2 linked regions of the Canis lupus familiaris genome follow. The protein of the gene in region 1 purifies or fractionates together with the protein of each later gene. This does not show direct contact. Links are inferred from orthologs where the notes say so. Each region holds a gene or a part of one and is shown on either strand. Other genes may lie near its edges.

Region 1 (4,334 bases):
CACGGAGCCAAACCCGCCAGCTCCCAGCCTCTGCAGGAAGCACACCTGTTCCCAGTCGATGGAGCACCAGGCCAGCCGACGTGGTAGCCTTGGAGCCCTGGGAGGAGTGCCACCCAGGAAGAGCTTCCCTGCTTTACTTGGGAGCTCAGAAGGGCTGCTGCAGGGCCGCGAGTCCACCGAGGGAGAAAACTCACTGGGGAGGTAACTGTGCCGGGAAAGAGGTGAGGGCATGGCACCTTCAAAGTGGACCCCAAAGTGGCTCAGGTAAACCAAAAGAAGAGGGTCCCACGAGTTTGGAAGCATCTCTGACTCCTCCTTTGCTCCGCCCAGCGCTTTTCTCCTCTTCCTTCATTTTCCCCAAATGAGCCGTGTCTGTGCTGTTACTCACAAGGGTTTTTATCAGATGAGCGGAAGCAGTCTGAATGAAGTACAATCCTCCTTTTTAGATGAAAATATTTCCCTTCAACACTTAAAGTGACTTTTTATAAAAATAAGCTCTCCACCCAGAAGAGTTCGCCAGATAAACAGCAGTGAGCTGCCTGTGGACTCACCCCCTTTTTCCATTATTTATTATTTAATTATAAAAAAAAACAGCTTTTTTTTTAAGTGTCATCCACTGAACATGATCAGTGTTCAGACTAAAGAGACTATATAGTGCAATGAAATTATTTCACATTTTGCAGGCTATAATGATTGTCAGTGTTATTCTCCAGCTGCATTAAATCACTTCCAGCAGTTATTGGCAGAAATATTTGAAATACGAACAGCTGACATTTGTTTAGCCGATTATGGGGATAATTAGGTGCAACATTCATATATGGATAAAAAATTGTAACCTTAAAGTAATTGATCCAAATACAATCACTAATACAGGTCAAAACATACACCTCCTAAGGTCATCAGGGGAAAGGAAAATTCTCTGACACTCCATTCAGCTCATATAGCAAATTAGCAAGATTTCTTAGCAACATATCGACTTCCTAACAGTCCTGTTCCATGGCAGTTTGGCCCACCCAGTAAGCTCACTTGCAAGAGAGATCTTAGACTTCATGGCAAATGAGTTACAGAAGTTTTGAAACAGAGTTGGGGGAGAAAAAAAATTCAGATTCAGAGCCATAATCAGAGCTTCAAAGAATAACAAATATGAGAGAATCCTAGAAGAGGAAAAATCCGAATAAAAATGGCACAGAATCACCACTGCCTATATATAATGTGGAAACCCAGATGTTAAAAATAAATGAGTCTTGCTACTCAACCATAAGTTCTTTCTTTCTAGTTTTTATAACTCCCCACCTCCCACTAATTTGCATTCCATATTTGAGGAAAAGACCAATAATACTAACCTGTTGATTAAAAAACATAGGAAGGTGTTAGGATCCATATTTTTAAAAAATTGGTAAAATTCTGTTTTAACTTATTGTACTTAGCATATAGGTGATGTTTAACCACCTTCATTTTTATAAAAGAGGTCTGTTTCTGAGATATATTGATTCTGAGAAGATATGTGAATAAACACAAGCCATTTACATAAACCATTTGAAGTCTGTTGGGCCCTAGGGTAGGATTTCTAGTCTATACTACCCATCTGCCTTAGATATTGTGTGTAATATTTAATCTGTTTGAGCCTTGGTTTTTTTTTTTTTCAGTTAAGAAATTAGGATAATAATAAACTTTTTAATTTTGGAATAAAAGTTCGGGAGCCCTGTACAAATAAAGAAAGTCTAAAAATGTATATTATAAAATATATTAGTAGAAAGGCAGTTGAATCAAAACCAAAATATAAAAGAATGACAGTGAAGAGAGTAAAATAAGAAAGTAATAAAATTATATTCTACAGTAAGTCTATTACAAAATTTATTTAATAGTCATCACATAGTTGGCATTATAATTTAGGTCTCCGAAACTTTTATGGTATTAGGAATGCTATATTGATCAAAAGAGTGTCATAACCTTCTTTGCAAAATGATGTGACTTGTTATATAATCTTTATGTTTAAGCTAAGAGCATAGGTAATTCATTTTACAAAGGTTGATTTTATTACTTATATAAGATACAAGGTATTAATGAAAATGTGGCACTCTACATTCACAAGCCCCAAGTTCATTATATCTAGCATCTGCCAATCTGCTCAAGAGTATTTCGTTGAATATCCATTTTAAAACAGCCTCTGGGGCCAGATTGCCTGGGTTTCTTACTATCCTTCAGTTTCCTTATCTGTAAGACGAGGAAAATCTGCCTGAGGACTGCTGTCAGTATTCACAGCAAATACTTAGATCAGGACATGATAAGTAATTCCTAATTGCTAATTATCATTTATGAAACTCATAAAGTGTATATGGGCTTATGCTGTAAGAAACAGATTTGTTAAGACGGTGTCAAAGCGTACCCTGCTGGGCGGCCCCGGTGGCGCAGCGGTTTAGCGCCGCCTGCAGCCCGGGGTGTGATCCTGGAGACCCGGGATCGAGTCCCGCGTCAGGCTTGTTGCGTGGAGCCTGCTTCTCCTTCTGCCTGTGTCTCTGCCCCTCTCTCTGTTTCTATGAATAAATAAATAAAAATTCTTAAAAAAAATAAAAAAGCGTACCCTGCTAGGGCTGAAGTGACTCATTACTTAAGCTAAACCGAAGTCTGACTGGTCTTCTAACTTAAATTTTATTTGAGGTTAGATATGTTAAGAGTATATTGCCTTATTGTTATATACTAGGAATGCAGAGGGTCAACATTTATCTGATCAAATGCAGTCATCTCGTCATAGCAAATAAAGGCAAAGAATATTCGTTAATGACAGGGTAGGCACTGTCTCCTAGAAGTGCAAATGAACCAGACTGGGGGCACCCGGTGAGGAGCAGAAGGCTCTCCGGTTCTTAAAGGCTTTCCGTTTTCTGCTCCGCCTGGCAGCACGCCTGTGGGGAGCTGCGTGGGTTTCAGGCAAGGCTCGGCGTACGCATCCGCAGCTGTGGCGGCGGCGGGGCGGCGGCGGCGGCGGCGGCGGACAGCGGCGGGGCGGCGGCGGGGCAGCGCGCTGAACTCCGCTTCAGCGGCAGACGGGGAGGAGCGCGGCTCGCGGGAGACAACCTCGCGGCTCGCGCAGGGTCTTCCTCGGCTCCGGGGCTCGGGAGGGCGCCGTCCCGCGCGGCCGTGCGCAGGCGGCGGGCACGAGGACGCCGTGGGCGAGCTGCCCGAGGCCTCCCGGCCCTGGGGTCGGCGCGCAGCCTCCCGGGCGCGGGGAAGCACGTGGCCGGCCGTCCCGCCGAGGCGGCCTGTGCCCGGGCTCACTGCGCCCCGCTGCGGCGTGCCCGTGCCCCCTGCGCGCACAGAAGTGCATCTTCGTGCGCTCAGCATCATCACGTAGCCTTCCGGGAGACATCTTTAAGAGGCCGTGCAACTCCAGCCCGCACGGCGCGCCCTCGCCCGCTGACGCCCACGTCGAGCCCTCGGGCCGCGTCTGCGCGTGCGCGCCTCGGGACCCGCCGCCCGGGATCTCCGGTTACAGCCCGACCCCAGAAAGTCCGAAGGCCAAGGAGGGGGCGCCCTGCAGTCCTCGAAGGCTCGAAGGGTTGTACTGCTGCTGTTTGCAAGCATCAGTCGAAGTCGAAAATAAACTTTTGCCTTTTTTTTTTTTTTTTTTTGGAGCTAAAATAATAAGTGAAGACGTGCTTTGCTAAAAATAAAAACTATAAAGTTGAAAAACTTTAAATTTTTTTTTACTTAAGTGGAATTATATTATTAATTAATATTATGAAGTTTGAATTTTATGGTCAGCAAGAATTATGTATGTTCCCATGTCCGTACAGAAGCCTGGAGAGCTACTTTGGTTTTTCTAAAATAATATGCCCAGGGGCAGATCCAGGTTTTGTGGGGGCTTAAAGCTTATACAAACAGAAGGAACCCTTTGAAGGCGTAGGAAGGAGAACCAGACTAGCACTGAGCCTGAGGCGGGGCGCCATCCCCCGACCCTGGGATCATGACCTGAGCCCAAGGCATAGCTTAACCTATTCAGCCACCCAGGCAGCCTTAATTTTACTTTATGTATATTTCCATTCATATACATGACTTTGGCCAATAGTAGTATTTATCAGCTCGTATGTTTTTTGTTAATAAAATTGCTTTCTTGAAACAGATAGGGGTTGATTATGATACAGCCTCTTATAATTTGGGTCAGTGGCAAAAGTTCATTGGCTTTATTTAATATATGCTAAGCTGTCACTAAGTTCTCCCTAATCTATCCTGAATATTAAATACTTAATAAGTTTACTGAATTAAACAATGAATGTGACGAATCTCAAGCTTTTTTTTTAATAGTAGGTTGAATATTGTACATAGTCATATCTTAATTT
Region 2 (3,650 bases), on another chromosome or scaffold:
TAAAATAGTGGAATACTCACTGGCTGACGAGAAAAAAAAAATCTTGTTTTTCTGATTTGGTTCATCTGAACAAAGATGCATCTTTCTACCACTTTTAGCCCAATGCTGATTTCAAGCTGTGCCTCTGAGCAGGGAGGACAATAGTGTCTGCAGCCAATTTTCTGAGGTTGTAGTTCTTCAACTTGGCCCCCACCCTAGTTTTCCAACCAAAACAACTTTTTCTGAAGACTATTTAAGCAAAACCCAAGAATAAGGGGAAATCATGTTTGGTTGTTTATTTAAGGAACACAAAAAAGTGCATCTGAATGTTTTTCTTTTTTTAAAAAACAAGTTTTCAATTCATCATATATGCTGCCTCAGCACTCCAAATGCAGTCTGAAAGATGGTTCAAAGACATCCACTGGTTTCTAGACAAATTAAGATTACTGAATTTGATACAAGAACATATGAAGTTTCTTCTTCTTGAGTGGTGATGGGCACCTCACCCTCATTTTCTCAGAACTACCTGCATACCCCCTGTCCTCCCTTCTGTGCACACTCTTGCCCATTCCCCGCTGGTGACCCATAACACACATTTGGGAGACAATTGGCTAGGATAATCTAAGTTTTAGAACCTGTTTTTTTTGTTTGCTACCTGCAAAAAGCTAACTGGCCTTAGGATCAAATCTCACTGGAGTCATGCTCTAGTCAAAAGAGCTACAAATACTAAACAGTCAAGCAACAAAGCAAAATCAACTTCTGCTTTTCATATTTCCTAGGCGAGATTGGGGCTTTTAAAAGAAATCTCATGAATAAAGACAAAAGTGAGAATTAAAAGCATTCTAGTTGTCAAAGAAGAAACTCACAATTTAATTCCACTTGTTCCATGGAGGAAAAAAATGGTATAAATGGAAATTATTTTATTTTTAGGTTTTGATGTGGGTCCTAACCTAACAAGTGTTTTGCTAAAACCACCATAAAAGTTAAAACTAGTAACTGCCAGTGTTCTTTAGGATTTTACAAAGTGAGATGTTCCAGGTTGGAGCTACTGTTTCCTTTGATTGCAAACGCATTCCCACAAGTGCTTCTCAGGCCATGTTCAATCTCGCTTACCCGTAAGGACCAAGATTCCACTACATGTACGTACTCTGATTTGCCCTGATTCAATGCCCCAGGATTGGAGCTTTTAGGCTAGATGTGCCTGCACAGGAAGCAGTTTTCAATTCTTTTTCACGACTTACACCAGAACAAAGAAGCCATAAGAAAGTTGCTGCGTGCCAAACCTGCGAGGAAAACCCTTAACGTACAAGAGCAACTACTTATTTTTCCACCTCTGCAGATTTTGTTTTTAAAAATCAAGCTACTTCGTAGTAAAAAGTCAAAAATTTTTTGTATGATAGAGGAGTGTAAATAAAGTTCCATAAACCAGTATACATGTTTATGAGCCAGTAATTTTAAAAAGACAAAAAAAAAAAAAAAAGCTGCATGAATCCTAAGTGGATATATAAATAAATCCACTCCAGGTCAGAGATATTCTAAGAACAAGTCTTAAATTCTTAATATAGCAAGGTTTAGAATGAAAATCAGAAACTGAATGGCAGCAATGCTAGCAGGCAGTACGGTACTCCACATTACTTCCTACAAGAGACAGAGGAGGGGAAAATGCACAATTCTGATTACTCTTTTCACATTTCAGCATCTCAGAACTTCAAGGAAAGCAGGGAAAGCTAATCTAGAAACTCCCTCTGCTCATTATCATTGCTGAAGAATGTTTTGGGAATGACAGATTCCCTCCTCCAGGGCCAGGCTGGGTGCCAGAGAGCCCCACTCTCCCAAGCAGACTGGCTTAGTGAGGAAGTTTGACTAAAGTCAGCAAGCAAGTGGCCTCTGAGGTTCTGGCTTCAGAGTCTGGCACTGTGGAGAACCAGTGTGTGAGGGGATTCCAGACCCCTCTCCCTATGGGTTGTGTTGGTTACGAATGCTAGCACTTCAGTCATTTAAAAACCAAGACCTCCTCCTCTCTCCCACCCAACTGCAGGAAAGGAGAAAATCATTAAGCATTTATTTTTAGGTTTCTGCAGTGCTATTAAAAGTTCAATCAGATGTAAAACCTAACAGACAGCCCAAATTGTTAGGATTATCTCAAGGGACCCTGAATTAGATATTGAAAGTTGACACAAACTGAAATGAGCTGGACTTAGCTGGTGGTTCGATCTCACCACATCAATAGTCACTTCTGCTTCGTTCCACCGGGAGTGGTCCCATGCCACCCTCTCAAGGAGCACGCTGGGCAGCAGCAGGGTGGCTGTTTTCTGGGAAGCTACTGGTTTTGCCATTTGCTTCCAGATTCGCACAGACTATAACAAACTTTACATGAAACACTGTTGAGTCCTGAGTTGGGTGACAGCCCATGGAGGAAGGGGCCGAGTTCATTAGGGCTCTTCCCTCCTTTGCGTGGTGTCATACATGGCCTCCGGCTTTTTCTTCTGTTGCTTGACTTTCTGCTTCTTTTTCATTGGTGACCCCTTCTAAAGTCTTCTTGCCCATGGCTTTACTGGCCTCTTCCTGAGGAAGAAATAAGATATCAAGAGGGTTAGAGAAAAAACTGAAACATTCAGGTAATTCCTGGCTCCTCCTGACTGCTTATCAGGTCTCAAACAGGAGGGCATTACAGTGGCTTTCCTGGGGCTGCCTGGTTGGGTAAGTCAGAGCAGTGCTGACAACAGTGCATAGTGGACAGCTTTCACTTTTCTTCGGTGGGAAGGACTAGCTTGCCACAGGGAGTGTTGTGACAAGAGGACTGGGGAGTGGAGGATGAACTCAGGACCTGAACACAACCTTGCTGTAGGGGAGGTGATGAAGTAAAAGGGCATTGACGGTGGGCCTTCCCTATCATGGCCCACTGCCCGGGAAAATGGAAGTCTCAACAAATATCTGAAAAGTATCTAAAAAAATACTTGATGTGTCTGATTTTTAAAAACTAGCAAGTTTTCCTAGTCTCTAGGGAACTTATTTTTCTCATCCCTTTCACAGACATGCAGTGCCTCATAACTCTGCACGTCTGGTGAGTAGAACAGCCCATTCTTCTTCTGGATCCAAACTAGCCTCAGATCAGATCATAAATCGTCTTCCCCGTTCTTGTGCCTCTTAGGTTGTCTATCTGACCCTGTGCCCTATGCTTAATCTTGTTGTAACAAAAACCAAAGGGGCAAGATCAGTTTTTGATGTACCTGAAGGGAAAGGCAGTTCTGCACATACCTTTGCATCCTGTTCTGCAAACTTCTTAAACATGTTGGCATATATCCTGCGGTCTCGCTCATTGTGCTCCTTAGCCTTTTTTTGGCACATGGAGATCTGCAGTCGTGCAGCCTTATTCTGGGGATTCACTTCCAGGACTTTCTCAAAGTCGCCCTTGGCCGACTCAAACTCGTTCATGAGCAGCTGGGCTTCACCCCTCCTGTACAAGCCCTTCTCGTTGGCACTGTCTAGTCCAAGCGCCTAGGGACAGATGGTCTACATTTTAGAAAGCATGAATGTAACTTTTGTTACATGTGGACATGTTTGTGGACCTTTCAAAGAAATTCAGTATTTAAATAACTTCCCAAACTTTTCTGGCCAAGGGGACTGGAAAAAGTTTACTGAAGTGACAAGATTCAAGGTAATTAAATACT

Evidence for each region. Proteins that work in one complex are often made in the same cells at the same time.
Region 2: the proteins of MOS (region 1) and FKBP5 purify together in Homo sapiens (affinity purification with mass spectrometry; 3 studies listed by BioGRID and IntAct, counting the BioPlex papers as one, with this or other methods). This does not show direct contact. The link is inferred for Canis lupus familiaris from reciprocal best matches to the Homo sapiens genes MOS and FKBP5.

Annotation. Positions count from the first base shown.
Region 1 is NC_049250.1:8,009,419-8,013,752, forward strand, and holds the start of MOS (proto-oncogene serine/threonine-protein kinase mos), read right to left. Parts: upstream 2,937-4,334; 5' UTR 304-2,936; coding exon 1-303.
Region 2 is NC_049233.1:4,902,912-4,906,561, forward strand, and holds part of FKBP5 (peptidyl-prolyl cis-trans isomerase FKBP5), read right to left. Parts: intron 3,478-3,650; coding exon 3,238-3,477; intron 2,545-3,237; coding exon 2,440-2,544; 3' UTR 1-2,439. UniProt on the Homo sapiens protein: Immunophilin protein with PPIase and co-chaperone activities. Component of unligated steroid receptors heterocomplexes through interaction with heat-shock protein 90 (HSP90).